4 linked regions of the Lepisosteus oculatus genome follow. The protein of the gene in region 2 purifies or fractionates together with the protein of the main gene of each other region. This does not show direct contact. Links are inferred from orthologs where the notes say so. Each region holds a gene or a part of one and is shown on either strand. Other genes may lie near its edges.

Evidence for each region.
Region 1: the proteins of vbp1 (region 2) and pfdn6 purify together in Homo sapiens (affinity purification with mass spectrometry; 6 studies listed by BioGRID and IntAct, counting the BioPlex papers as one, with this or other methods). This does not show direct contact. The link is inferred for Lepisosteus oculatus from reciprocal best matches to the Homo sapiens genes VBP1 and PFDN6.
Region 3: the proteins of vbp1 (region 2) and pfdn2 fractionate together in Homo sapiens (co-fractionation; 8 studies listed by BioGRID and IntAct, counting the BioPlex papers as one, with this or other methods). This does not show direct contact. The link is inferred for Lepisosteus oculatus from reciprocal best matches to the Homo sapiens genes VBP1 and PFDN2.
Region 4: the proteins of vbp1 (region 2) and pfdn1 purify together in Homo sapiens (affinity purification with mass spectrometry; 4 studies listed by BioGRID and IntAct, counting the BioPlex papers as one, with this or other methods). This does not show direct contact. The link is inferred for Lepisosteus oculatus from reciprocal best matches to the Homo sapiens genes VBP1 and PFDN1.

Annotation. Positions count from the first base shown.
Region 1 is NC_090713.1:23,463,278-23,471,012, forward strand, and holds the start of pfdn6 (prefoldin subunit 6), read left to right. Parts: upstream 1-4,598; 5' UTR 4,599-4,755; coding exon 4,756-4,819; intron 4,820-5,715; coding exon 5,716-5,786; intron 5,787-6,020; coding exon 6,021-6,145; intron 6,146-7,735. Other genes in the region: mrps12 (small ribosomal subunit protein uS12m), read left to right, coding at 1,217-1,265, 2,148-2,536. UniProt on the Homo sapiens protein: Binds specifically to cytosolic chaperonin (c-CPN) and transfers target proteins to it. Binds to nascent polypeptide chain and promotes folding in an environment in which there are many competing pathways for nonnative proteins.
Region 2 is NC_090703.1:47,078,330-47,085,637, forward strand, and holds the start of vbp1 (prefoldin subunit 3), read left to right. Parts: upstream 1-4,292; 5' UTR 4,293-4,322; coding exon 4,323-4,403; intron 4,404-6,255; coding exon 6,256-6,380; intron 6,381-6,797; coding exon 6,798-6,864; intron 6,865-6,971; coding exon 6,972-7,070; intron 7,071-7,308. Other genes in the region: prss23 (serine protease 23), read left to right, coding at 1-933. UniProt on the Homo sapiens protein: Binds specifically to cytosolic chaperonin (c-CPN) and transfers target proteins to it. Binds to nascent polypeptide chain and promotes folding in an environment in which there are many competing pathways for nonnative proteins.
Region 3 is NC_090713.1:22,363,857-22,371,747, reverse strand, and holds the start of pfdn2 (prefoldin subunit 2), read right to left. Parts: upstream 3,062-7,891; 5' UTR 3,023-3,061; coding exon 2,933-3,022; intron 1,750-2,932; coding exon 1,661-1,749; intron 218-1,660; coding exon 94-217; intron 1-93. Other genes in the region: nit1 (deaminated glutathione amidase), read left to right, coding at 3,838-3,944, 4,854-5,084, 5,296-5,399, 5,943-6,079, 6,532-6,657, 7,302-7,559. UniProt on the Homo sapiens protein: Binds specifically to cytosolic chaperonin (c-CPN) and transfers target proteins to it. Binds to nascent polypeptide chain and promotes folding in an environment in which there are many competing pathways for nonnative proteins.
Region 4 is NC_090706.1:41,109,045-41,116,264, forward strand, and holds the start of pfdn1 (prefoldin subunit 1), read left to right. Parts: upstream 1-4,189; 5' UTR 4,190-4,254; coding exon 4,255-4,287; intron 4,288-5,317; coding exon 5,318-5,484; intron 5,485-7,220. UniProt on the Homo sapiens protein: Binds specifically to cytosolic chaperonin (c-CPN) and transfers target proteins to it. Binds to nascent polypeptide chain and promotes folding in an environment in which there are many competing pathways for nonnative proteins.

The sequences.
Region 1 (7,735 bases), on a different chromosome or scaffold from region 2:
GACAGTGCTGTCAGACTCCCAGTGTGCAGCAGTCTGATCCGCTCCAGGTGTGACAGTGCTGTCAGTCAGACTCCCAGTGTGCAGCAGTCTGATCCGCTCCAGGTGTGACAGTGCTGTCAGTCAGACTCCCAGTGCGCAGCAGTCTGATCCGCTCCAGGTGTGACAGTACTGTCAGACTCCCAGTCAGCAGCAGTCTGATCCGCTCCAGGTGTGACAGTGCTGTCAGTCAGACTCCCAGTGCGCAGCAGTCTGATCCGCTCCAGGTGTGACAGTACTGTCAGACTCCCAGTGCGCAGCAGTCTGATCCGCTCCAGGTGTGACAGTGCTGTCAGTCAGACTCCCAGTGCGCAGCAGTCTGATCTGCTCCAGGTGTGACAGTACTGTCAGATTCCCAGTGGGCAGCAGTCTGATCCGCTCCAGGTGTGACAGTACTGTCAGACTCCCAGTGCGCAGCAGTCTGATCCGCTCCAGGTGTGACAGTGCTGTCAGACTCCCAGTGTGCAGCAGTCTGATCTGCTCCAGGTGTGACAATGCTGTCAGACTCCCAGTGTGCAGCAGTCTGATCCGCTCCAGGTGTGACAGTGCTGTCAGTCAGACTCCCAGTGTGCAGCAGTCTGATCCGCTCCAGGTGTGACAGTGCTGTCAGACTCCCAGTGCGCAGCAGTCTGATCCGCTCCAGGTGTGACAGTGCTGTCAGTCAGACTCCCAGTGTGCAGCAGTCTGATCCGCTCCAGGTGTGACAGTGCTGTCAGACTCCCAGTGTGCAGCAGTCTGATCCGCTCCAGGTGTGACAGTGCTGTCAGTCAGATTCCCAGTGCGCAGCAGTCTGATCCGCTCCAGGTTTTACAAACTACAAGAGGCTTTTGTGCAGTAGGCACACAAAGAGGCTGGAGATTTTTAAGTTTGTTACTTGGGGATTTTGTCTAAGACATTAGTAGGAGTGAGTAGACAATAGAAGTGTGACATCAAAGTTAAATTTTTATTTTTTCTCCCTTGCTCCTGGCAATTTGTGCTAGATTTTGCAGAGCTTAAAACATCACAGTGTAACAGGAAGCTGACTTGAGTTATGGTGCCAATGCCTGTGACGTGTATTTGACTATCGGAGGAGTCGCTTCTTCTCTCGTTAGTTGAAATGTGCCAGGAAGGTGCCTTGGTGCTGATGACACCTCACGGCGCCTTGCTTCTGTTCTCTCCCCAGGAGTCCCGCAGCACAGGGATGGCTTTGCTCTCCAATCTGCGGCCAGTGGTGTCAGCGCTGCTCTGGGGTGAGTGTCCTGGGCCAGTCCTGCCAACCTGCTGGTGCCAGTTCAAGCACAGTGACTGTAGCAGGCCTTGGGATTGGGGCCTGTTGCGCGTTCTTGCCGGGAGCTCCTTACAGGGAAAAGACAATCAGAATGAGCAGTAAACTGCAGGAGTATGTGAGTGAAGCACCTGAGAAAAAGGGTATATGTGCACCTGATTATGTGTTTGACGTTTGAGCACTGTGTGAAAATCACAAACATCACATAGAAACAAACCTATTAGAACATAAAAGCTTTGGCAGTTCTGTGGTGACTCAAGCAAAGCTGCAGATTGGCTGAGAAACTGATAATAGGGTAAAATTTAATTTTTAAATGAATTGCTCAGTATAATGTTGGAATAACATTATGAAACAAATGGTGAAATGGTGCTTAATGAAACAAAACTACAAAGTATTTGAATGGTTTGCAGTTGTGTTTGAATCATATAATTATTGAAAATGGTAAAAAAAATCTTTCTGTGCACAAAATAGGTGTGGTTTTAATTTGTGAACCGCTAGCATTTACATGCTACAACCATTTTGATTTTAATAAGTCATTTAAAAGAATTTCACACACAGGAGAAATCCTGACCTAACCCATGCATGCTGTCTGTACCACCTCGTCTGCCAAGGGGCGCTGATACAGGTGTCCCCTGTCCGTCCCAGCTCTGCAGCAGCATCCGGGGCCTAGGGTGCTGTAACTGAAGGTTCTGCTGTACTTATACGGTTCTGCGGTGACCCGGTAGAGAAGTATGAAGCGACATACTTGGTACATCTTGGGTAGAGGCGATGGAGAAGAGTGTCTGAGACAGGTCTTGACCGGCCCGTTCCCTCTCTCATGCTGTTCCTCGCTTTCTCCGTCCTGCAGGTGTGCACGGGGCAGGCGGTGTGGCCAGCTGGCCCCTGGCCCCTCTGCGTGGGATGGCCACTCTCAATCAGATGCACCGCCAGGGCCGGCCGCGCCCCGAGCCGCCCCGCGTCAGCCCCACCTTCGGCCGCCCGCAGCTGAAGGGCGTGGTGCTGAAGACCCTGATTCGCAAGCCCAAGAAGCCCAACTCGGCCAACCGGAAGTGTGCCCGCGTGCGTCTGTCGAACGGGCGGGAGGTGGTGTGCTTCATCCCCGGGGAGGGGCACAACCTGCAGGAGCACAACATCGTGCTGGTGGAGGGTGGGCGCACGCAGGACCTGCCCGGGGTCAAGCTCAAGGTCGTCCGTGGGAAGTATGACTGTGCCCACGTGCAGAAGAAGAAACAGTGAGCCAGCGAGGGACTGGGCCCTGTGGACACTGTGGCTTCATCCACACAGACTATTCCACCCGTTTCTCCAGTGGTCAGACCTCTCCTCCTGACCTGGGGCAGTTTTCTGCCACAGATGAGCTGTAATAAAGTCCACTCTGATGCTGCAGTCCTTTGTCTTTGTGCTATTATTAGAATCTGGGATTGAGGCAGGCAGCACTACATTGTGGTTTGAGACGGAATGTAATGTAACTGATCACAGTTATGGGTGGTTTGTTCATTTCAAGTGTCTGCTTTCAAACTATTATAAATGGCTACATTACTGAAGTTCTGTGCAGAAAGTGCTCTAATTCTCACAGAATGTTGCCAGTATTCAATTGTCTTGTCATGTTGCTCTGTGACGAGAGTACACAAGTTCATTCATATGCACAGCAGCCAGTCCTGTTTGTAAAAGGGAGAAAATTCAAATGAGCAACAATTCCAGTTTGCTACACAAATCCTGATGTTTTACAGAAGAGATGAGAATTGTTGTGCAAATAAAGATCTGTATTTCCACCCCTGAATTGAAGTGACTCAAACCAAAAAAAGGGTAATTTGGAAAGAAGGAATGGCCTTTTCTGGAAAACGCATTCAGTGAAGGTTTGAAATCCCTAAATAGTTCTCTAGTGACAGTGGACCTGCAGCTGACAGGTAAGATACCTGTGGTGACTGAGAGTGTGTCATACTAATGGTTTCATTCCAAACGTGCCTTGTTTTTGGGTGAAGTGCTGGAGAAGAAGGAGCTGAAGAGGAGGACAGCGCACAGCTCTTCATCTGCACCAGTGTCTGCTAGAAAGCAAATTTGCAGCTGTGGTCCCTGGGCAGGACACGGCCCTTGAGATACAAGATGCAGAAAAGACATTTCAAGACATAGTGTATGATAGATATTTCAATAGGTAAAGTGTATATAAGCACTGACAAGAAATACATTGAAAGTTTCAAGAAGTACATTAGAACTGATCAAGATGGAGAGCATGATGTTGGATAAGGAGGAAGAAGTTTCATGATTGCAAAGACTGATTTGCATGAAGCAATGATTTCACTTTAGTTTGAGGAGTTATAAATTAGATGAGAATCTAATTGATAGAATTGTGTTCCAGAAGCTGGAGGCTGTAACCATAACTGCTGACTCACCAGACTCAGTGTCTCTATATTTCACCCAACACATACAGCGAGAGGCTCCTGCGGTTCTGGTTTTGGGATACAAAACCTTTTAAAGGAGGGCGCTGAGGCTATTTCTGATCCTAAAAAACAGTAATTTGCAAAGTGCATGAAATTATCGAATGACAGTAGATGATGCTTTTTAGTTGTGTTGCAGTGGCGACAGGGTGTTGATTTCTTGTCCAGTGCTGAATGAGTAGAAGGAAGGGAAACACTCAGCGCCAGCTCGTTCCTGCTTGTAGCTCTCTTACAGCCGGCAGGATGGGTCATTTACAAAACACGAGTGCGCATGCTACTGTGTACTTGCATGTATACGTCTTATATACAAAATGAGTTAGGGAAAATAGTTAATGAATCTATACATCTAAACGTGTTCGTAATTCTTATATTACGCATTTTATGCAAACGATCCTGCTTTTCGGTAAACGATAATGTTTTTCTTATTTTTTCAAACGTTTGAACATCAAATAATACAAATGAGAGAAGGAAAAAGCGGTAGTGAAACAAATACACTGCCAGAGGTAATTACAAACCTGAATACAAAATGTATCTTTGCAATGCATTTTTGCATTAGTGTATTTAAACTTTTTAATGGAATATCGCATTTCCATCTTATAAATATCAAAGGAAGGAGAAGCGACAGTTGAGTGTATATATTTACCCATTATTAATAACAGATTAATGATAAATACATGTTATTTACATCTTGCGAATTATATCAAACTCCTTAACTCTAACATTCAGTTAGATGCTTAAATAGAAAGTCTTCCAAGTCTATCCAAAACCAACCCAACCTTTTTTCTTATTTCTCTGTCCCTTACCAACATGGCGTCTTTTACCATCACAAGTCAGTGCCGTGGTAGCGTCATATCCGGTGCGACGCCATAGCTCTTCCTGTCTCAGACTGTGAAGCTAGGCAGGTGGTGCGGCGAGGTGGTAAAAAGGCTGCCGAGCCCAATAATTAAAAAAAATATTTGGCATTTTTATCGGAATATTATTCCGTCCGCTTTTGGTACCCTAAAACCTGGTGTTGGACCAGCGATGGCGGAAGCAATCCAGAAGAGACTTCAAACTGAGCTCGAAAAATATCAACAGACCCAGAAAGGCAAAGTTGAATTTATTATTGCAGTTCTCCTAGATACAAAGTGGTGTCTATCGCATTCTGTATTTTGAGCTGATAGTGGCTACGGACGCACTGTTCTGGTCATCGTGTCGCTGGACACGTCTGATACTGGAGACTCACAAAACTCGAAGCTGAATGTGAAATGACCAGTGCTTTAAGTGGGTGACCACTCCGGTAGCGACTTTGTTGAATTGTTAAAGGTCAGCTCACGGGGAGCGTCCCAATCGCTTGTGTGTCCTTCTTCGTGTTAACATAACGCCGCTTTAATGTGAAGGAGCCTGGGGTTTCTGCCTCAGCTCTAGGTGATGATAATGAATCGTGCAGTAATAAAGGGGGCGGCACTGCTGCCTCATGGTACTGGGACCTGGGGTGCTGTTTGTGTGGAGCTTATATGTTCTCTCAGTGTTTGAGTGGGTTTCCTCCCACAGTCCAGACTGTGCTGGTGGGTTGATCAGCTTCTGGGAAAACTGGCCCTGGTGCGAGTGTGTGTGTCTGTGTGTCTCCTGGGATGGACTGGGGTCCCGTCTGGGGTACCCAGCCCTGAGCCTGTTGCTAGCCGGGAGAGACTGTGGCTCCTGTGTGGCCCTGAACTGGATGAAGCGATTAGGAGATGGATGGAGGGCTAAGAGTGTTTAAGGCAATATTTGTGCTTTTAAAGTGTCATTACTGATGTATGAAGAACTGCTGATCTGTGGCTGTGAAGGAGTGTGCTCTGCCTGTTCCAGTAAAAGCCTGTGGGCTGACGCAGAAGACGATAGGTAGAGAGTAGTGGTGCGTTAATGTGACTGTCACACTGGCCTCTATGTTACTCACGTTCCCTGAGAGCTGCGACTGCTTGGGAAATAGGAGGCCTAAATATTAAAACTGTTTCTTTGCAGATCTGAGTAAAAGCATGTCGGCGAGACAGAAGCTGGAAGCCCAGCTGACGGAGAACAACATCGTGAAGGAGGTGAGGCGCCACTCTCCCTTCAGACCTCTTTGATCCTCTGTTTTGACTTTCTGGTTCTGTTGCTGGTTCGTCAGCATCAGAGAGAGTTTTATTCCCTGCTGCTTGTCGCTTCTTCAGATGTGCGTCTCCTTTGTGGTGTGAGGCTGAAGCCTTTACTAAGGGTGAGTTGCAGGTCCTCCCATGTGGCTCTGAGGGCTAACTGGTTTATCTTCTGCTCTGGCTTTGTGGGGGCAGGAGCTGGACTTGCTGGAGGCTCAGAACACTGTCTACAAGCTGATTGGCCCAGTTCTAGTCAAACAGGACCTGGATGAAGCGAAGGCTACAGTGGGGAAGCGGCTGGAGTATATCACTGGAGAAATGTAAGTCCTGTGTGTGTTTGTCCTCGTACAATCCTGGCAGATTGAGAAAGTGAAGCCAAGTGTTAGTAGAGACCTGCCTTCTACAGCCCAGTTTGACTGAGCTAATCTGGCCCTGTAGTCTTCTCTCTGACCTCTCTGAACTGATATGTTTATTGTCATAAGAAGGCACATTACTCGTTTCTAATATGCTTTTCTTATCCTGGTCACAATCACTGCTACTGAAGTGTTACAAATTACAAAATCCTCTGTTACAAATTCAACTGTTTCTAAGCACTACAGCATTACACTGAGAGCTTTATACATCAATGCTCATTAGTTAAATTTCCTTGACAGTACCCGTCTTCTGTCCTGTGTGTGGAGGTTGTTGGCTTAATTGTGTTCTAGAGTGCACTTTATTGTAATATAAAAATCTAAAATAGCTACACTGCTGTAAAAAGACAGTTTAGATTGTTTTTCACTTATTACACCATGTTCTTCAATCTTTACGTGAAAACAACTGTATGGTACTCTACTGAACTTTAAGCTATTTTATGATCACATGTAATCCTGATGGATCTGTATATGGTAGGATAAAAAGTGGCCTTTTAAATTTGTAGATGTGGAAAGAGAAACTTGATAATGACAAGAAGCCCCTGACAGTGAGTCACTGAGATATGATGTATCAGCTGTGACTGGTTTAGGCAGTCCTGGTCCTGCAGGTTTCAGAAGTACCCGAATAATCCCTGGAAATCACAGCCAACTGACTTTTAAACACTTAATTGTATCAGTTAGGTAATTGAGGTTTTAGCTGGACTAAAAACAGTAATAGATTAAGTTTGTCCTGAGATGGTGTGTTTCAGTAGATACTGGTGAATTTAAGTGCCGATCTTGCTTTTTCATCAGATGCACTAGACTGTATCAATACTGGCCAAAATTGTTAAAATACCATAAAATATTAGTTGATGTGGTCAGTAAATAGCTGCATGGGACATAAACCTTCTTTAGCCTCCTTGTGTTTTCTCTCTAATTATCCGAGTGGTTTTAACACTTCCTTTAAGTAGACTATAACTGAAATGACGTGCAGATTTCTGGTAGAAATTCCAGGCCTGCAAGGAGGTACAGTTCTTTCTCACAGTCCTGTGCTCTGTTTGTCTCTGGGGCTCAGTGTCCTACTGTGCCACCCTGTGTCTCTGGGGCTCAGTGTCCTGCTGGGGCTCAGTGTCCTGATGTGACAGTTTGTCTCTGGGGCTCAGTGTCCTGATGTGACAGTCTGTCTCTGGGGCTCAGTGTCCTACTGGGGCTCAGTGTCCTACTGTGCCACCCTGTGTCTCTGGGGCTCAGTATCCTGCTGGGGCTCAGTGTCCTGATGTGACAGTCTGTCTCTGGGGCTCAGTGTCCTACTGTGCCACCCTGTGTCTCTGGGGCTCAGTGTCCTGCTTTCTTCTGTCTTTCAACATCTTTCCTTTCTCTCTCTTCATTGCAGACTGTAATTTTAACTTCTGTCTTTTAAAAGAGGGTTATTTGCCTTCTTGGCTTGTTCTTGGCCAGTACCTGTGACTGCAGTGGTCTCAGCACAGAGGAGCCTGTGAGAAGCTGCACTGAGCTGCCCAG
Region 2 (7,308 bases):
AGCTGGGAGCTTCTGACTGAGCGACTGGCCTACGAGACGTTGTACGCAGACGGCACGCGCACCCTGACCACCGTGGATCTGGAGGACAAGGAAGAGGAGGAGCCCGGCCCCGCAATTCAGCCTCCCCCCAGGAGGTGGCGCCCCGCTGCGCGCGGGAGGCGCAAGCGTCAGATCTACGGGGCCGACGGCCGCTTCAATATCCGCGGCAACAACTTCCTGCTGGACTACCCCTTCTCCACCGCCGTGCGCATCTCCACGGGCTGCACCGGGGTCCTGGTGTCGGAGCGCCATGTGCTGACCGCCGCCCACTGCGTGCATGATGGGAAGGATTACGTCAAGGGGGCCCGCAAGCTGAGAGTGGGCTTTCTGATGCCCCCTTCGAACAGCACCAAAACCGAGCGCCACCCGCCCGGGTCCCAGCCCGAGAGGAAGCCGCTGGTGCGCTGGGTGAGGGTCAAGCGAACCCGGGTTCCGAAAGGCTGGATCCAGGGACCCCAGGAGGCCAGCATGGACTTCGACTACGCCCTCCTGGAGCTGCGCGCCCCCCACCGGCGCCCCTACATGCGTCTCTCCGTGGCCCCTTCCGCCCAGGACCTCGCGGGCAAGCGGATCCACTTCTCCGGGTTCGACAGCGACCGGCCCGGAGAGCTGGTGTACCGGTTCTGCCCCGTGGAGGACGAGTCCAACGACCTCATCTACCAGCACTGCGACGCGCGGCCCGGCGCCAGCGGCTCGGGGGTGTACGGCCGCGTCTGGGACGCCGCGCTGGAGCGCTGGGAGAGGAAGGTGATCGGAGTCTTCTCGGGACACCAGTGGCTGGAGATCAACGGGGAGAACCGAGACTTCAACGTCGCCGTCCGGTTCACCCCTCTCAAGTTTGCACAGATCTGTTACTGGGTGAAGGGGAACCACTTGGACTGCCTTCAGGACTGAGCGCAGGAGACTGGGCTGGGGACCGTAGCCTGGGGGTCCCGGTGCCCTAGTCCCATATCATTCAACTTCTTTAAACGGTTTCATGCTTTGTGATTAAAACAAGGTAGTAAATTCCTAAAGAAACAGCCTTTATGCGGGGGCAGCCCGTGCATGCAAAGGCTAAAGAAGAATCTTGTCTGTTCTTAGTGGGAAATGTCTGTCTTGGGCGCCCTTCCTGGTTCTTGGCTTGCTTTGCCCGCACTCACTGATAGCGATTGTCTCAGCAGAGAAGAGTCTTCGTGAAAGGAAGCTAACAGACCACTCTGGACCTCTTTGTGCGTGACCTACGGCAAACCGTAGGAGCGCTGTGATAATTTAATCGATACTTCGTTGATGCACTTTTGCTTGCCCTACCTGCCTTGTGTATTTTACTGTGTCTGTTGTCGCGGTCTGAGAGGACCCGAAACCGGTCCCTCTCCTGATATCTCCCCCTCCCCCCGCGAACAGCGAATTCCCCTGCCCCCTGCCCCCCGGGCTGTGATGGACCCATTAGCACAGGACGGGCCAGGCTCCGTTCCCACAGGACCGGGGGGGCAGTCGTAGCTCCACCTTCCCAGCTTCCAGCTGAAAGTTCCAGCATCCCTGTGCCGTGGACCGCATGAGCACCCTTTAAATCAGATCCACTGAGATACTTCCTCTCCAGCCTGTGATTACCGTCAGGTCTCTTTCAAACGACCTGCACACCCATGAGCACTCTCATAAGAGAAGAAGCTGTGATTTTGTTTTACCATGAGGAGGGCGCTCCGTTTCATAAGGGTAACCGGTCAGGTTGAGGAAATCACTAAGTTGGAAGATTTAAGGAACTAACGTCTCAGTGTGCTTTTTTGGGGGGGAGGAGCAGATCTCCCTGTAAATATAAGGGGAAATGCGCTGAAGGGCCTTTAATGAGAGTTTAACTGGTGGGACAATCTCACAGCCTCTGTGCCTGACAGCACCGCTCTCTGCAGAGCACAGGCTGATGCTGACCAGCCTGCTCCCGGCCATCCCCCCCAGTAACACAGCACTTCCTTGTCCGCGCGTGTAGCCCTGACAGCCACGCAACGGCTCGGCGTTCCTCTGCCAGGGCCCGGCCGGGGCACTGCCGTTAGCAGGATTCCGGTTGCGTTTCATTTCGTTTCATTAAGTTTTATTTGAGAAAGCCTTCTATATATTTGAATAAACTGGATATTTGATTAACTGTTTCTCCCCGTGTGGGTGTTGTCTGTCTTGTCTTGTTTTGGTTTTTCTTCATGTCCTTGAAAAGTAGCCGAGATCGGGAACCCCATCAGGATAAAGCCCACTTTTCCCTGAGAGGAAACGTGCAGCTTTACAACAGCTTTGTTTCAATGCTGCGTGTTGAGCCTGTAGTCAGGTTGTTGTTTTTTTTTGCTGTAAAAAACTACAAAAGGAAAGAAAAGATGAACAGCACTTCAGGAGACGGCTACGTTTGAGCCAGCTGTCTGTGCTCAAAGTGGCAGAAGACTTGAGTTTCTGGGGTTGATATCCATGAGCTTACTTATAGATCAATTCATAAATTAAGATAATGCAAGAAGAAAAGTTTGAATATAAATGCATAAACGAATTGGGAAAACAAATAACATTAGGAAGTTAGATCCCAGGGATAACTAGCATGATCCTATAGGACAAACAGCCATTCCCCTGGTCTTAACCACTCACGGCCTCCTAATAATCCCCATGAACTGGCTTCATCACTCTGCTCTCCTCCCCACTGAGAAATGATCATGATGGCTGCTGTCACATCGTCCAGGTGATTCTGTTCACTGCTGGTGTTAGTGGGATTCCCCGTTACCTGTAACGTACTTTGCAAAAAAGCACTATAGAACTGTAAGGATTACACTAATGATGAGGATTATTATTAATATCAGATAAGATCACTTTATTGGCCATATACAATTTCTTGCATTAGGAGTTCATCTTTTCACATACCCCAGCTTGCTCTCCATGAGACACAGACAGGGAGAGAAGCAGGGGGTCAAAGCACATGGTCAGCCATTGTACAGCACCCCTGGAGCAGTTAGGGTTAAGGGCCTTGCTCAGGGGCCCAACGGAGTAGGATTCCTCTGCCAGCTGCAGGATTTGAACCGGCAACTTTCCAGTCACAGGCGCAGATCCTGAGCCACAGAGCCACCACTCCACCCGATATTCTGTTTATATATTGCATGTTTATAATATGCTGTTTCACTCTCAAGATTTTCTTGGCCACTGAGTTTCCTGCCTCCCGTTGTCAGGAAGCTGCTTGTTCCTGGCGAGGGTCACGCCAACCGGGAGCCCATTCTGGGAAAACAGGGCGCAGGACGGCACCCGCACCCCGGACGGGGCGCTAATCCACTGCAGTGCGCGCACACACAGCGGGGACAACAAATATAATGAACGTAGCTCACATATGTCTTTGCAGAGCGAGAGGAAACCCGTGGGAACATGCGAAGACATGCACACTCCACCCAGAAGGTGCCCTCGTCTGAAACTCAACCCAGGATCCAGGGAACATCTGTTTTTGAACTAAGCCGCACGATCAAAATCGGCGGCAGATTAATCATTTTTTATTTAAAACAGTTTTTCTCTACTTGGAAAAATAAATATTCATCAGCTGGATGGGGCAGCATTGCAGCCTGGCAGTGCAGGGGGCCTGGGTTCAAATCCTAGGGTGCTGTCTGTGTGGAGTTTGTATGTTCTCCCCATGATTACATGGGTGCGCTCTGGGTTCTCTGGTTTCCTTCCACAATCGAAAGACATGCTGGTTGGTTAACTTTCTGTTCTGTTCTGGGAAAACTGACCCTGGTGTGTGTGTCTGTGTGTCTGCCCTATGATGGACTGGTGTCCAGTCCAGGGTGTATCCTGCCTTGTGCCTGTTGCTTGCTGGGATAGGCATGACACCCCTAAAGCAGTTAGAAAATGAATGGATCCATGGGATTAACTACTTGTCATAAAGGCTAGGTTGCATATTTTGATTGTGATAACTGCTCAGCTGTTTAAATTCAAAGCCTTGCTTTTAGTGTCAGATTTCACGATGACGGTGTTTTAAACGATTTCCTCCCGAAAATAAATTAGCATTATTTCAGGAGTAGCCTGAAATTTACAACACCAGGATCCCCCCCGCCCTAACTTGTTCCCCCACCTTGGACAAAGAAACGAAAGATTAAACTACACTCTCCAGAAAGCCTTGCGGGGGACTCGCCCATATCCGGCTGCGTTTCTCTACGATAGGTCCTACCCGCTCGAGCCGTTCTCCCCGGCGTCCAATCAGAGCTGCAGTTGCGGCTGAGGAGGCGGGGAAAGGTGATGGGTGGGGTCCACGTTCGCTACGCACAACGTCAGCGCCGCTGCATGGCGTGAGGGGAAATCTGTCCAAGATGGCGGCGACCACGGAGAGCAGCAATGCTGTGGCAGCAGGCAAGCGAAAACACTTAGGCATCCCGGAGGCTGTATTTGTGGTAAGAGGCCAAAGGCAACGTCTGTTGTGCCTTTTTACATGTGGAGAATTATTGATGATGAAGGGCTGGGAGAACTCCGTGCAGAAAGGAGAATCCGATATTACAGTAGCTAGCCATCCACATCCTTAAAAGGCAGTTGGAGACATTTCGACTATGAAAGCTAAGCACCGGGATCTGAGACTACAAGGAAAAGGGTGGTCTCGCTTGCGGGCGGACGACAATGGGGCATTGAGCAGCCCGCACCCTTAGAGCTCAAATGCATTTTTAAGCATACCTCCACACCCAGAGCATAGATTTTATGGTATCCAATGGTTACCGCTGTACCGTGGAAGCAAGTCGATTGAATGTCTTGTCTCAACTACAATCTTCGGACGTTCAAGTTCCGACCAACATTATAAGATAATCAGGGGGGCTGGATCGGCGTATTTTGTATTATTTAATTGAAAATATATATATTTTTTAGCAGTTCGGCTGGGGTGCGGGTTTGACAGCGTCAATATTTCAGTTCAGGAGCCCTTCCGGCCGCGGGCTCCAGCGCGGTGCAGATGAGTCACTGCGTGCTGGGTTAGGACCTCGGGTCGTGGAGACGCGCTTGTCGTTTGCGGAGAAGGAGGTGGACCCGTGTCTGCTCCACAGCGAGAACCTCACTAGCTCCATTGTCGTTAGATGGCGTGACCGAGAACCGTAAACGAAATGTCCGTTTGAGGTCCGGTTAAGAAATCAGAGCAAATCATATGTTGCAATAGTTCATTACCAAAAGTGGCGATGGCATCTTCCATACCCCTTTGTCTTTATCGTTATGTTTCTGTGCTATTGCCCGTACTGGTGTAATTTTCGACCCGTTGCTGAGTTGTTTCTGTGTAAATGTCATCTGGATTTTTTTACAGGGCAAATTATGGGAAAAAAAAGCGTTTTGGCCCAACATTACATAGATTATTTTCTTAGTGAAACCGTTTTTTTTTAACATGTTCAGGCACAAGAACAACTGTCTCCTGAGTGGAGACTCTACAGAGCCATGATAAGCCTCCGACTGCTTTTATATTGGGAGACACGACGAATAAAGACGTCTTCCGGGCTGATTAATGGGACTGACGCAGACCCAGAGCTAGTATCATCTTCAAAACAGTTAAGCTTCTGAGCCCAGGGTTGGAACCCGAGTCTTCCTGAATGTGGTTCTTGGGGGCGATGTCGGCACAATTAATTAAATCCCTGACCTTTCTGATCAGCTGCCTTCCTGGTCCCAGCTCCATCTGCCTCTTGTTCTCTTAGTTCTGAATTCAGTTCAGGATTCAAGAGCAAATCAGGAAGGAGCCTGCAGTATTGTACTAGAACTGCGCCTGGGCAGAGGGCTCTTGTTCACTAGTGCCTCTTTGAACAAGAGTCTTGTTCAAGTGGAGTCTTGTTCTACTAGAGTAGGGCACGTCTGCCATGACGGGCCTACACTCGGGATTAAATAGCTGCCGGAGTCTTGATGTAGCAGAAAGCCCGGCTTTATCAATGCATTCCCGAGCAATTTCACAAAGCCGATAACGAAACAGTTCAGTTCCTGTTACCCAGTATGGAAGAGATTTTGCCTTTGTGGTTTTAAACATGAGGGTTAGTGTGCCAACGGGTTACCATGGTGACAGGAAGTGGGAGGAGTAACCGCCCTGATGTCCATATATGGCATATATATGGGAGGGGCACTGGCTGCTGTACACCTGAGCAAAGTACATCACTCAGACTGCCCCAGTGAAATACCCAGTGGTAAATAAAGGGTAGAAACATGATGCTTTGGATAAAAGAGTCGGCCGAGTAAAGTTGCCCGATGAACTATCAGGAGGGGTGATTTCACAGATCCTCTCTCTCGCAGGAGGATGTGGACGCCTTCATGAAGCAGCCTGGCAATGAGACGGCTGACGCTGTGCTGAGGAAGCTGGATGAGCAGTATCAGAAGTACAAGTTCATGGAGCTCAACCTGGCGCAGAAGAAGCTGAGGTGAGCCCGAGGGCGTCTCTGCCGCCCGTCGCCCGTGGGGGTGATGGGGGTTATAGGTCTTGCTAAACCGTAGGTCTGAATACTCGCAGGAGAGGGTTGTGTTGCTCCAGTCAGTCTTGAGGTTAAGTGATTAGGAGGAGCCTGAAGCTGTTCATCATTAAGTGGGATTTAAAAAAACTGCCTGTTTTGAGAAACGGGGAGTTTTCTGGGAGTAGAAAGCGTTTGCTGCCGTGAACAGAGCTCGCGGAATGTAGTGGCGCATGAAGAGAGAGCCATTTTTTTCAGGGCTTTGTAAAGGAACGCCGTCAAACGGCTCCCGGTCCTGCGTCCGGAGACTCGTCCTCCAGATGTCCCGGTGTGATGGAAGACGGTCTTGCCCATTAACCTCCCAGCTTTCCTGTTTTTGTCTCTTTTCAGATTGAAAAGCCAGATCCCCCAAATTAAGCAAACACTCGAAATTTTAAAACACATGCAGAAGAAAAAGGTACATCTCGGCCGCATGGGGTCACTGCCCACCGGGTCTAATTTCTTTTCCACCCCTCTTGTGTGTTTTGCAGCTGCTTACTGTGATTTTATTTCCACCTGCCTTAGGACACCACAGATCCTTTGGAAACCCACTTCCTGCTGGCTGATAACCTGTATTGCAAGGCCTTGGTACCCCCCACAGATAAAGTCTGTTTGTGGCTTGGCGTAAGTATTTAATCCATACTGCTACGTCTCATTAGTAAATTGCGTTAAGTTGACGGTTATTCCAACCCTGACGAGCAGAGATATTGTAGTGTTAACTTTAGGTTGACCAGGGGGAGCACTGCATCCCCTTTTGGGGCGACCAGGGGGAGCACTGCGTCCCCTTTTGGGGCGACCAGGGGGAGCACTGCGTCCCCTTTTGGGGCGACCAGGGGTAGCACTGCGTCCCCTTTTGGGGCAA
Region 3 (7,891 bases), on a different chromosome or scaffold from region 2:
CGCACCGCGACCCCGAACTGGAGGGGCCGTCAGGAAACGGGTGGACGGTGCCGGGCCCCGGCGCCCTCCCTCCCGGCCGGGCGCCGGCCTCACCTGCTCCTTGTTGCTCTCCAGCGCCGGCAGCACCTCCCTCACCGTCCGCTCCACCAGCACGCCGCCCACCAGGCGGAAGCACTTCCGCGCCGGGTCCACCTCGCGCAGGGTCTCGATCACCAGGCTGGCGGGACACGCACAAGCACAGGGCAGCTCAGGCCAGGCTGCAGGCACAGCGCCCCCTCCTGGACCAGGACTGGACACCCCCGCTGCAGACACACTGACCCCTCCTGGACCAGGACTGGACACCCCCGCTGCAGACACACTGACCCCTCCTGGACCAGGACTGGACACCCCCGCTGCAGACACACTGACCCCTCCTGGACCAGGACCGGACACCCCCGCTGCAGACACAGCGCCCCCTCCTGGACCAGGACCGGACACCCCCGCTGCAGACACACTGACCCCTCCTGGACCAGGACCGGACAGCCCTGCTCCAGACACACTGACCCCCCCTGGACCAGGACCGGACACCCCTGCTCTAGACACACTGACCCCTCCTGGACCAGGACCGGACAGGCCCGCTGCAGACACACTGACCCCCTCCTGGACCAGGACTGGACAGCCCTGCTGCAGACACACTGACCCCTCCTGGACCAGGACCGGACACCCCCGCTGCAGACACACTGACCCTTCCTGGACCAGGACCGGACACCCCCGCTGCAGACACACTGACCCCTCCTGGACCAGGACCGGACACCCCCGCTGCAGACACACTGACCCCTCCTGCACCAGGACCGGACACCCCCGCTGCAGTCACACTGACCCCTCCAGGACCAGGACTGGACAGCCCTGCTGCAGACACACTGACCCCTCCTGGACCAGGACTGGACACCCCTGCTGCAGACACACTGACCCTTCCTGGACCAGGACTGGACACCCCTGCTGCAGACACAGTGCCCCCTCCTGGACCAGGACTGGACACCCCCGCTGCAGACACACTGACCCCTCCTGGACCAGGACTGGACAGCCCTGCTGCAGACACACTGACCCCTCCTGGACCAGGACTGGACAGCCCTGCTGCAGACACACTGACCCCTCCTGGACCAGGACTGGACAGCCCTGCTGCAGACACACAGCCCTTGTCTATGTAGATGAGGTGTAGAGTATGTGTATAGAGTCCATGTACTTCTATATATCCTAGGGCACTCTTGAGCTGGGAGGCACGGTGGTGCAGTGCTCAGGGTTGCTGTCTCACAACTCTGGGGTTCTGGGTTCTATTCTGGACTAGAGGAGCTGTCTGTGTGGAGTTTGCATGCTCTCTCCGCATTCGCATTGGGTCTCCTCCCATGCTGGTGGGGGAACTGGCTTCTGGGAAAACTGGCCCTGTTGTGAGTGTCCTGCCCTGGACTGATGTCCCATCCAGGGTGTATCCTGGTGCATCCTGCTTGCTGGGATAGACTCCAGCTCCCCAGGGACCCTGTACTAGATAAAGCGGTCAGAAGATGGCCGGATATGTATTCAGCGCAGTAACAGGTGGAACACTGTGTCCACCTGCAGAGCCGAACCCCTGGGAATGAGGATCTGCACAGGGTCCGGACGGGAGCAGGCGGCCAGCAGACGGTACCTGTGCTCGTTGATTTCCATCTCCAGCTCCGCTGCCTTGGACGCCATGCTGCGCTGCTCCTGTCTCATCCTCTGGAACCCGGCCACCACCTGACAGAGGGAGACACGTCAACAGACTGGACAGGTCCACACACTGCACTGAGAGAGAGGGGTTCATACAGACTGGACACTCCAGTCCATTAACACTGCACTGAGAGAGAGAGAGGGGTTCATACAGACACACTGACTGGACACTCCAGTACATTAACACTGCACTGAGAGAGAGAGGGGTTCATACAGACACACTGACTGGACACTCCAGTACATGAACACTGCACTGAGAGAGAGGGGTTCATACAGACACACTGACTGGACACTCCAGTACATGAACACTGCACTGAGAGAGAGGGGTTCATACAGACTCACTGACTGGACACTCCAGTACATTAACACTGCACTGAGAGAGAGAGGGGTTCATACAGACACACTGACTGGACACTCCAGTACACTAACACTGCACTGAGAGAGAGAGGGGTTCATACACACACACTGACTGGACACTCCAGTACATTAACACTGCACTGAGAGAGAGAGGGGTTCATACACACACACTGACTGGACACTCCAGTACATTAACACTGCACTGAGAGAGAGGGGTTCATACAGACACACTGACTGGACACTCCAGTACATGAACACTGCACTGAGAGAGAGGGGTTCATACAGACACACTGACTGGACACTCCAGTACATTAACACTGCACTGAGAGAGAGGGGTTCATACAGACACACTGACTGGACACTCCAGTACGTTTCCCTTACCCGTTAAGCAAAACGGGAGCTATTATTAGTGAGGATACAATCATCATATTTTTGTGCCACTAGAAGTAATAAAAATACGGTAGCCAGTGACTGTTCCGACAAATTCGTCGTATTTCGTGAAAACGCCGCGTCCAAACCCGGCTCATCGCCGTACTGTACACGGTAACGGTCCGGTTATCAACACGGGCGTTTCAGTCCACAATAAAAACCGTGCGCCCCCTGCGACAGGGGGGGGTCTCGTCTGCCGTGCGGTAGCTCATCAGAGCCCGTGTCGCGTCCCGTCGTGTCACCGCACTGCAGAGATTGCATTACTGCTGGTGTTTCCAGAAATCGGGGCTGCTCGGGTTGCGGCGCTGGGCTCAGGCGAGCGTGCGATCAGCCGCCGCATGCCCACACCTCCTCTGCCGCCCCCTCCCCTTCCCAAACCCGGTCCGCCTGGAGAACGGGGCTCCCCGCCGGCCTCGGGCGTTACCTGCTCGGCCGTGGGGCCGGACTGCTTCCCTCCGCCGCTGTTGCTTTTACCACCGGCCGTGCCGCCGCTGCTGGCGCTGCTCGCCGCCATCTTGACTAGGGGAACGGCCGTGCTCCCAGGACCCCTCCTTACTACCCGGGGCTGCCCCGCCAGCTGCCTGCTGGACACCAACGCGAGAAGCGCCGAGACGTAGCCTACCCGTGCGACAACCACGCAAATTCTTTTAATGATAATTTAAAAAAACAAACAAACAATTAGGTCTGAGGGAAATTCACCTTTAATGGAAAACAGGTAATTGTAATTCATCGAAAACAGCCATTGTCAACATGCCTAGGAAATTTCGTTTTAAGATATTTAGCTGCAGGGGGGAAAAATGTCATTTGTTGTCATTATCGTGTAAAGAAGCATTTTCGCTGTATTTGAAATGTGATCTTGTGTACTTCTGAACAGGTATTATAGCGATAATAGACGCATTAAGTCCGTTAATCGTGGAGATCCTCAGGTGGAAACGCATGACCTGTTTATATAAAGTTAGACTAACAGGGTATGCATACTGCTGTAGATCTGTAACGCCAGAATGAACAATATAGGCTCTTTCTTTTCATGTCAACCCGTGATCAATTTCTTCCTGAACACAGGTGTAAGCCTAAAACTCAGAGTGCATGTCCTGGACGGTTGTTTCTAACTTTGTTTAATAAAGTAAATCATCTGATACCCAAGGTAATCATTCTGGTTGCAGTTCGGAGAAACGAAATAAAAAAAACGCACACAAAACAGTTCAAAGTGCGCCTTCACCAGCGGCCACACTCTATTGGTCACAATACTGGGGCTGTTCTGTTAAATTACAACAGGAGGAGCGACGACCTTTTCTGCCTCGATTGAGGTTCCTGCTCTGGGCTCCGTCCATGCTGCGACGCGGGACGCTGTGGAGTCGAGCGAGCTACGCCTGGAGCACAGCCCTCCGATACACGAGTTTCACGTCTCGGAGAGCGCGCCCAGGCGACCAGGAGAGGTAAACACGCCCCGTGGACCGGCGGGGTATTTAATGGCCGCCGTACTGTACGTGAAAAGCCCGCTTTGTTTGAAAATCTTATCCCGTTCCTCTTGGTCAGGTTTGGGTGTGGTGCCGGTGGGGGCAAAGTGGATCAGTGGTTTGCACTGCTGCTGCATGGATACATTTTCGCACCTGGGGTGCTGTCTGTGTGGAGTTTGCATGTTCTCCCCAGGAGAAACTGGCCCCGGTGTGTGTGTGTGTGTCCCATCCAGGGTGGACCCCACCTTGCGCCCGTTGCTTGCTGGGATAGGCTCCGGTTCCCCCCTGTACTGGATACAGTGGTGAGAGAAGGGCTGGGTAGAGCCCAGGTCTCTGCTGTAAAGGGCACTTGTCTGGCTCTCTGTCCCAACGGGTTGACCTCAGTTTATACTCCAGACCGTCTTCAAACCCAGCCCCTTCAAACTCGGGCTCCTCAGAGCATAAGAGAGGTTACAAACTAGGCCTGCAGTGGTGGTCCTGATCCATACAGGTCACCCCCCCTCATCGCCGGCAAACTTGTTTAAGTGACTGATCAGTGCAGCGAGTCAGAATTGTGATGTTATTTATTGTGTCATCTCTACACTTCTACAGCTGTCCTCTGGACCCCCACTCAGAGCGCTTTACAGCTCATGGGGATCCCCTCCACCCCCCAGCAGTGTGCAGCCCCACCTGGGTGAGGCACAGTCCGCTCCCCCCACCCCAGCTCTCAGCGTGATGGAGCCAGTTCAGAGAGGGGTGCCTGAACTGATCCCGGTCCCCCCTCCTGGGACTGAGGCTGGTCCGTCCGGAAGTCCGTTGGGCTTAAGCTGCAGCTGAGGCTGACTCCTGTCCAGTCCCGGGGAGGGGGAAGACTAACACAGGCGCGCTCTCCCCCTCCCTCCTTCCCAGGATGAGCTCCCGCAAGCCGGTGGCCGCGCTGTGCCAGGTCACCTCCACGCCGGACAAGGAGGCCAACTTCGCCAGCTGCGAGGGGCTGGTGGAGCGGGCGCGCGAGGGCGGGGCCTGCATGGCCTTCCTGCCCGAGGGCTTCGACTTCATCGGCTCGGGCCGCGAGGAGACGCTGGAGCTGGCGGAGGCGCTGGAGGGCGAGACGGTCGGGCGCTACGCGGCCCTGGCCAGGTCCGTCCACCGGGGGGCGGCCTGGGGGCTCGTTACTCGCTCAGGCTCTGTTCCCTGCTCTTACTCACATGGAGGAGGAGGAGGAGGAGGAGGGTGGCATCTTTCCCAGTAGAACCAGGAAATAAACCGTAGAGTCCAGGAGAAGCACAAGAGCTGGGTGCCCCCCGTCGTCCAGGGCCTGTCTGACGTCCCTCCCAATTCTCCCTCTCAGGAAACTGGGGATCTGGCTGTCCCTGGGGGGGTTCCACGAGCGAGGGGAGGACTGGGAGAGGGATCGCCGGATCTACAACAGCCACGTGATCCTGGATGACCAGGGTACGCAGCCCCCCACCCCGTCCTGTCCTGTCCTGTCCTGTCCTGTCCTGTCGTGCTGTTCCATCCACCCACCCATTCTCCCACCACTTCTTCCAGCTCACCGCCGAAGTGAAGCAGGAGCCTATCCCAGCAGGCAGCGGGCGAAAGGCGGGGTACACCCTGGAAGGGATACCAGTCCATCACAGGGCAAAACACACGCATGCACGCACGCTCACACTCACACCTGGGTCGATTTCCCAGAAGCCAAGTAACCCACTGGCGTGTCTTTGGACTGTGGGAGGAAACCCACGCAATCACAGGAGAACATGCAGACTCCACACAGACAGCACCCCTGGTCCGGAATTTAATGTGGGGCCCTTAGCACAGCGAGGCATCATGTTGACCACTGCTGTTTTTACATTGGTCATAATACCTGCTGTCTGTGGCTGAAAAAAGTCAGAAAATTCTACAATGATCAAATAATTCATCATTCATAATTCATTCAGGGCATGGTGACATGACCCCTGTCACTCCACGGCCACACTCATCCTCTCTTTCTCCCAGGTCACATTGCAGCCGTCTACAGGAAGTGCCACCTGTTTGACGTGGAGCTGACAGGAAGGGGCGTGTCCCTGAAAGAGAGCTCCTTCACCATCCCGGGACCCTGCATCGTCCCCCCCGTCCAGACGCCCCTCGGCAAGGTTACGATTCTTCTCTTCTCTCTTTCACCGTTATCTCCAGCACCGGGGCAGCCGAAGACCACGGGCTGTTAATGGGCTGCCGGTGCAGAATGAACACTGTGCGTCTCCCAGGTGGGGCTGCTGGTGCAGAATGAACACTGTGCGTCTCCCAGGTGGGGCTGCAGGTGCAGAATGGCCACTGTGCGTCTCCCAGGTGGGGCTGCTGGTGCAGAATGGAGGCTGTGCGTCTCCCAGTTGGGGCTGCTGGTGCATAATGAACACTGTGCATCTCCCAGGTGGGGCAACAATTCAGTGGAGGATGATGTGGGTCTCCCCCTTTATGTGAAATGCTCTGCTATACCAGTACAAATCCAGTCTGCTATTACTGATATCACCAGAACTTTTAATTTGACTGAGTCAGGTAAGGTCTTCAGCTGTAATTAATGATCGCATCCAGCTGTTTTGTTTTCCAGCTGGGACTGGGCGTGTGTTATGACCTGCGCTTCCCTGAGTTCTCATTGGCCCTCGTGCGGAAGGGGGCGGAGATTCTAACCTATCCTTCAGCCTTCACCGTGGCAACGGGGACCGCCCACTGGGAGGTGAGGAAGTGACCTCACGGACGCGATGGAGAGGAGGACGGGGTGGGCGGGGCCGACGTGTGTACGGCAATCTTTCAGTGAGTTTTAGGACTGCTGTCGGTAGCAGTGTCTCTGCTGGGCTTGAGCAGGGAGATCCACAGACACGGACTTGTGTCGTCCCTGGTGTTTTCGGCACAGAGAGATGGCCTGGGTGCCCAATGTGAGAAGCCCACACAAGCAGTCATGCACACATTCTTAAGTCATGGGTGTCAAACCCAGTTCCCTACTCCACATTAACCCTGAGTGTCGTTGGGCGACTTGGACACATGCAGGACGATCCTACAGGCCAAAGCCTAGTGAGGCCCTGTTGTTGGTAACTGACCTTAACTTGACCTGGGAAACCAAATCTAATCGCCTCTCGGGCGTTAGAAAGTAGTTTAAAATTGAAGAAATGATTAACTTGTCTGGGGCAATGAGAGAGACTTCATTGACACCCGAGATCTTCATCATTCCTCAGTCGAACCCGAGCCCCTCCAGGCTGTTCTGGTTTGTACGCAGCCCGGCCCGGGGTGACTTCATCGCTGCAGTTGGCGGGAGTGTGGGTGAAGGTGATCGAAGGAGAGGGGTCCCCGTCTCTGAGGCCTGTTCCTCTGCGTGTGCCCCAGGTCCTGCTGCGTGCCCGGGCGATCGAGACGCAGTGCTTCGTGCTGGCCGCCGCCCAGGTGGGGCGCCACCACGCCCGCCGCGCCTCCTTCGGCCACGCCCTGGCGCTGGGGCCCTGGGGCGAGGTGCTGGGGGCCTGCGGGGCCACGGAGCCCGGGCTGGCGCTGGTGGAGGTCGACCTGCAGCGCCTGCGGGAGGTGAGGAGGGACATGCCACTGCAGCAGCACCGGCGGGGGGAGCAGTTCTACAGCCAGGACTGAACCACTGGACACCTGCGGCGGGGGGAGCTATTCAACTTGTTCTCCTATTCTGTGTGCAGCCCTGGGGGGGGCAGCACAGAGTCCCACTGCTTCTGCTTGCAGCCTCTGACCTTAATGACCTAATTGAACATTAAGCAATTAATTTATGGTCAGTTTCTTCAGTTTGTAATCTGTACCGAACTGAAAAGCTTCTTCCTCCCTGAGCTTCTGGGGCTGTAGCGAAATCTGGGGTACGTCCCTGAGCTCTGGGGTACGCGCTTAAACAGGCGCAGTGGCCGCACTGCGTTGTTGTAGCGCCCCCTGGCGTGTGAAGGAGAGGAGAGCCGCCGCGG
Region 4 (7,220 bases), on a different chromosome or scaffold from region 2:
CACGTCCAGGTGGGGGTGGAGTGGTCAGTGCTCACGTCCAGTGGAGGTGGAGTGGTCAGTGCTCACGTCCAGTGGAGGTGGAGTGGTCAGTGCTCACGTCCAGGTGGGGGTGGAGTGGTCAGTGCTCATGTCCAGTGGAGGTGGAGTGGTCAGTGCTCACGTCCAGGTGGGGGTGGAGTGGTCAGTGCTCATGTCCAGTGGAGGTGGAGTGGTCAGTGCTCACGTCCAGGTGGGGGTGGAGTGGTCAGTGCTCATGGCCAGGGGTGTGTGGAGTGGTCAGTGCTCATGTCCAGTGGAGGTGGAGTGGTCAGTGCTCACGTCCAGGTGGGGGTGGAGTGGTCAGTGCTCATGTCCAGTGGAGGTGGAGTGGTCAGTGCTCACGTCCAGGTGGGGGTGGAGTGGTCAGTGCTCATGGCCAGGGGTGTGTGGAGTGGTCAGTGCTCATGTCCAGTGGAGGTGGAGTGGTCAGTGCTCACGTCCAGGTGGGGGTGGAGTGGTCAGTGCTCATGTCCAGTGGAGGTGGAGTGGTCAGTGCTCACGTCCAGGTGGGGGTGGAGTGGTCAGTGCTCATGGCCAGGTGGGGGTGGAGTGGTCAGTGCTCATGTCCAGTGGAGGTGGAGTGGTCAGTGCTCACGTCCAGGTGGGGGTGGAGTGGTCAGTGCTCATGGCCAGGGGTGTGTGGAGTGGTCAGTGCTCATGTCCAGTGGAGGTGGAGTGGTCAGTGCTCACGTCCAGGTGGGGGTGGAGTGGTCAGTGCTCATGTCCAGTGGAGGTGGAGTGGTCAGTGCTCACGTCCAGGTGGGGGTGGAGTGGTCAGTGCTCATGGCCAGGGGTGTGTGGAATGGTCAGTGCTCATGAGCATGGGGAAGCAGACTGTGGGGCTCTGGGCTTAGGCAGGTCTCTGGATCCAACTGCTCTGACAGGTTTCCTGAAATGGCTGGCCAGTCCAGTTTCCCCAATGTAAATGGCTGGGTACTTTCTGCATGAAATGCAGTAAAGGAGATTGCTGGAGTGAAATACTAAGACATTGTATATAAACTCAGCAAATTATTGCAAAACCGTGTTGAACATAAGGGAGCGGTTGGTAGGATCAGGCTGGTCCTCGCCCGGCTTGTGTAACGCCACAAAACGGTCCTTTTGTAATCCAGTTGCTGTGAAGCCTTTCCCAATTCTCTGATGCAAAACACAGCTTCCTTCACTTCCAGCCACACAGCTTCAATGTGAATTCAACCTGACGACGACAGGAGAATTCACATTTCACTCATGCAAGTGAGTCTGCAGACAGGACCAGCTCATGGTCTCAGAAGCAGCAGGAATAAACCAAACAGTCCCAGGATGCTCTGTGGTTGAATTCTGCACTGAGCATGAGCGCAGCTGTCAGGAAGGACTCTTGAGATGGCCTGTATTCCTTCACTTCTGGGCATCCTGTTGTACACCACTGATGTCACAAACTGGAAGCTGGTGTTTTTTGTCACATTGATTTCTCATAAACTTCTTGCCACACCATGCAAGTGCTGCAGAAAATACAGCACAGCACAATGTGAGCATCCTGGGTTTCAAAACAGAGCAAACCACCATTTCCTGACATGAAAGAGGAGCGACGCATTTTGATTTTGACTGGAGATATTTCCTGTCGAGCCCGGTTAAGGCTTGGCTATTGTCTCAGCTGGGACATTAATAACTCAGCTGAACTGGAAAAGGCAGACTTTAAAAAAAGACTTATGGTCTTTGGTTAAACAGGCCGATCTTATTCATATAGTTTTCCGTAGCTATTTAATCTGAGGATTACTTTATTTACAGTGGCCCTTAGGGGTCTTGTCCTCTTCCCATCAATGAAAAGGGTCTCAGCACAAGAATGGAATAGGTGCCCATCTGAGAGTTTACTGCAATATATTTACCATAGGATTTTCCCATTTGCCTCGTGGATTTACTGTGGTGCATGTGAGTAAATACTCCATGGAAATACTATTCTTAAACCACAGCATTCCCATGGTCCAGAGTAGTAAAACACAGTCAAGCCATGGTAAAAGTTTGAAGTGTGCCCAATAAGTGTCTTGTCACACATGCTGTTACTAACGGGGCTGTTAGAATTTCAGGATGAGGTCAAACTGTAAACTTGCTCTTCAGTAAAAAAACCTGGCTCCTGTGCACAACTCTGCGCCCATCTTTTCTACACTCCTCCCTGCGCCACAACTCCACTCCTGCAGCTGCCTCGCTGGTTCATCCCTCGCAAGTGAGGGGGGTCGTGACAGCAGCTCTGGGCCTCCGCCAGTGATGTCACTTCCTCAGCCAGGAGAGTTAACCCCCAACACTAGGAAATTAATGACGCAATCCCTTAACATTCATTTGGCTTGCTTCGTCGGTTGTATCACTCCTTGCCTGAACCGCCGAATATCCCTTTATTATTTGCTGAAAGATAGCAGCTCCCAGTCCGTGTGTTTCTTCAGGCTCTTCTTTCTTCCTTGAGTGGAAACATGACAGATCTGCAGCTTGGCCAAGGCCTGTGGTCTCCCCACACCTGCACCCTGCTCCCGGGCCCGCGACCTCGGCACCGGCCCAGAGTGGGGGGGGCCGGCCCAGCTGGAGGGGGGCTGCGTCACCCAGCCCACACAGGTGGAGGGCGAGCTGCCGAAACCACGCGCACTGCCACCGCGAGACAGACGACAGCAGCGAAGGCTGAGGACCGACAGAGGTGCCTCAGGAGCTCGTGTTGGACCTGTGTGCGGTCAGCAGTAACCCACTGGGATCCAGAACACAGGCGTTCACTTCACATTCGGATGACTGGAAAAATCTACAGCTACATTTGAAGATTCAGTATTAGGAAGCCTCCAATCACGTGTGTTTTCTTGAGCACTGGTCAAGACATTTTCCACAAGGAGCAGGGGCTTCTCCTGATTGCACCAGTTATACAACCTGGATCACATTCCACTCCAATTTTGCGATTGCTGCCATGGACACACTTGACTAGAGACTTTTAACCGTTTCTCGACTTTGAACTGCATTGGTCAGATGTTCAGTGTCCAGTCGATACGCTGGGCCGGGCACTGCTCCGTCCCAGACAGTCCTGTCAAGGGCGGTGTGTCCGCACGCTCCCGGTGTCAGCTCTGAGCCGGGCCGGCCCGCGGGCCGTCTTCTAGCCGGCGCAGCTCTGCCTGGCTTCAGCGGAGTCAGCGTGGTCAGCGTGGCTGACCGGAGGCCTACAGCAGGGGCGTCCAGCCCTGGTCCCAGAGAGCGCTGTCAGGCGGGGGTTGTCAAACCATCAAATCACGCCTTTCTGAAGGCAGTTTTACCATGATCGACGAAACCGGGGATTCATTAGAATATTAAAACATTTCATAGAGTGCGAAGGGCTGTCGCACTGTCCAGGGAAAGCTCTGCCCTCAGTCTGCTGCTTGCTGGGATGGGCGCTGGCTCTCCTCCTGCACAGTGTAGGATAAAGCTGTGAGAAACTGGATGGACGAGATGGAATTTTATAGACAGTTTGGGGCATAAACCTGAATACTCTCTCACCTCCAGATTCATGACTTAACCGTCTTCCCCATCTTTAGGAATAGGTACAAATTTATACTTTATATGATATCCTACAGGGAGGTTTCCATCTTCCAGAACACACCGGGATATTATGATGGGGATCGTGAAATGGATGTGCTTCATTTGGTCGATAACTGCTTCTCTCTCAGGTTGCATGGTTGCCTATTAAGGAAGATGGTCTTATTGACCTAGTTTCTCAAACAACCGGGACATATTCAAGGGAACAGAGGCGATACAGACACGGGGAAATTGAGACCATAATATAGTACTTATCTATATTTAGATTCATTTTAAATCTAAAGACTGAGGTCTAAATTTGGCGTGTGTAATTTTAGAAAAGCAGGCCGTGAGGGAGCAGGGCAGAGCTCGCCAGCACAGGCTGGGACCGGCAGGAGTCAGAGACAGCAGATCAAGGATGGCTGCACTTCATGTCAATGTCTCAAAACCAATTTCGTCCAACCTGTCATGCTACTAATATGAATGCACTTTCTAAGCATTATGAATTATTCAGATATAGACGTTCACACTGAATTGCTCCATTTTATGCAAAATAAAGCTAAGCCACACTGTTATGAAACGTACTTTTACTATGTACGACTGTAACAAGGCGTTTTAACACGCGGTCGAGGTAAGACCGTCTCTGCATGACGTAATGACTCGAGCTACCGGCATGCAGCCTAGCAACCGATAAGGACTCACTGCGCATGCGTTCACCTCTCCAACATGGCAGCCCCCGTAGATCTCGAGTTGAAAAAGGTAAAATGTTTTATTTCATTCTTATACGATAACGGTTGGTCATTCTCAACGGCAGCATTTTAGTTTCTGGTAACTTTATCTCTCATGTCGTAGCCTTTTGATGGTTTTAAAACGGGGAGACAGCCCTTTAATCCTGTCACAAAGCGTGTGGTGGAGAGAAAGCGTGTACAGGACCTCTGAGTTTGAAAAAGGCTAGCTAGCTTAAAGTCATACCTGTTTTGTCTTTTAATTGCGTGATTTTACCATTATTAGATTTTTAAATTAACGTCGTATTATCTGGTTCGTGCAGCGTGCGTCAGTTTGTTTTTAATATAGCCAAACATCTCCTTTGTTAAGTGTTTTAAGATGTCATTCTGCTTTCGGAAATAGAACGATTATTTCCTCCGCGATAGTGTAGATTAGTAGAGTCCCAGCAGCAGGATGCCCAGTGTTCAGGTTGTCGTGATTACACGAAACGTGAGTCAGGCCAAGAACCGACACCCCGCGTATGTGTTGCATCTCATCGCGGTCGTTACCAACATCGACTAAAAAACTATGCTTCTATAACGTGGGAGATCTGAATTACCCTTGTAGCAGCTACACCTGCCCGTTTGTTAAATAATGCTTATTCTGTTTAATTATTACAATCTCATTATTCTGCACTCAGTGCATAATTGTACATCCATCCATTTTCTAACCACTCTGTCCAGCTCGGTGTTTTCGGGGATGCTGGAGCCTATCCCGGCAAACAGTGGGTGCAAAGTGCGATACACCCTGGACGGGATGCCAGTCACACACTGATACACACACACACACACACTCACACCAAGGCCAGCTGTCCTAGGAGCCAGCTAACCTTCCAGCATGTCTCTGAACTGTGGGAGGAAGCCCACACGAATCCGGGGAGAACATACAGCCCTGCAAGGCAGCAGCTCTGAACCCGGCTCACAGTGCCTCCGAACCCGGCTCGCAGTGCCTCGCCACGCGGGACGACGGCAGACCTCCTGCCTGCGAGTGGCCGCGGTGTGACGTGATGCGGTGTGACCCGCAGGCTTTTGCCGAGCTGCAGGCGAAGGTGATCGACACCCAGCAGAAGGTCAAGCTGGCGGACCTGCAGATCGAGCAGCTGAGCCGCATGAAGAAACACGCCCACCTGACGGACACGGAGGTCACCACCCTGCCCGCGGACACGCGCATGTACGAGGGCGTCGGCAGGATGTGAGTACCCCCGCGTCTCTCTCGCCCCCTTGTCTGGGTCTCCCAGGCCCGTTCGGTTCGGATCGGCTCTGCTGTGCCTCCCCAGCGTTGCGACTGTGGGCTTTGGCACTCGTATCACTACATTCCTATTACATATAGAGTCTGATTGGAACCTTAGGAAGGTCACAGAGAAGAGGAGGCCATTTGGCCCATCTAACTAAGCGAAGGTCATCTGTCCATTTCTTGCGAGAATCCCAGGGTATCAGTTTCAACAAAATGTCTGGGCAGCTTGTGGCAGACACCCATCACCATTTGTGTGAAGAACACAAATCTACCTCCTCTTCTGACTGGAGGATCTCATTCAGCTGTGTCTTGAAAGAAGCCAGAGGCTCTTATTGGCTCTGACAGCAATGCTGGGCAGCTTATTCCAGATTCCCACTACACGTTGCAGTTAAATTTGGCTAAAGTCTCTTTACCATTCCTTTGCAGTTTCTACAGTGTTTGCTAATCCTTGTATTGTGATATCATCTGTGCATTTGACTGTGAACTATACCGGAACCTAGATCACTGGTTAAAAATTAGGGAGAGCGGCAATCCTGATACATATTCTTATGCTACTCCACTAATTACATCTGTACCAATGCCAGTCTGAGCAGTCGTACTTTTTTTCTGTACTAATTGTTTCTGTCCATTAACCTGTTCTGAACCCAAGGGCATGCATTACTTTGAGTGTCTGTTGTCTGTGTTATTAGAATTAACTTTAATGAGGAACTTTGTCAACAGCTTTCCACTCATGTAAATTTTATGATCTCTATCCATTACTGCTGATTGTTCAAAGAACTCTGATATATTACAGAAGATCTAACCCTTTTTCTCTGTAAATACCGGAGTCAAATAGTGATGTATCGGCTCTCTCCATTTCCTGGACTGATTCCTCTGAGACTTGAACTGGAACCTGTTCCATTTTTACTACTTTATAAAGTGCTTTCTTTCTCCTCAAATTGCTTTAGTGATTAAACCTTTAGGGTTTCTGCATTCTAGCCGTTGATTTGCTTACTCTTTGGGATTGATAATTTCTGTTCCTTTGTGTAAAGAAGTACCTCTGGTTGGTGTTTCACTGTTCATTCTGAAGAATGTTGCTGGGTTGAATGCGTCACTGCCTTTGAGGGAACATGAACCCCTGACAGCACTAAGGGTGTTGTGTAGGTCTGATCTGAAGTGGAAAATGTCTTGGGATTTTTAACAAATATTTTCCAATAGAATGACTGAAATCAGATAAGTCCAAGGTTAAGCAAACATGCACAGGAAAGCAAGTGTTTTTTGCTCATATGTCCAGTCGGAAGTGTGATTGACAGAGACTGGTGATGAGTATTTTCTCTTGGTGTAATAATCCTAGCCTTCTGCGAATGGTAGACATTTTTATTTGGTTCAAACCGCTTTCAGAAATGGCACTGGATAGGTTTCTTGTGTTTCCCAGTGCACAGTACTGGTGTTGTCATTACTTTTGTGGAGAGTTAGATGGGTTTGTAATTGAAAATGTTTAATTTTATCTCAAGCTAATAATAGTATTTCGTTTTTGCAATCCAACATGTCATTCCACTTGCAGGTGTTTAACGAATTTCTCAATTTGGAGACTATTGTTCCTGAAAACGTTCTTCCGTACCATACAGCACTGCAACGTTGTGTTAACTTGGCCTCACAGGCTTGGCTTCACGTCAGCCAGTTTGTCTACATTTATAGTACCGAGAGTCATCGTC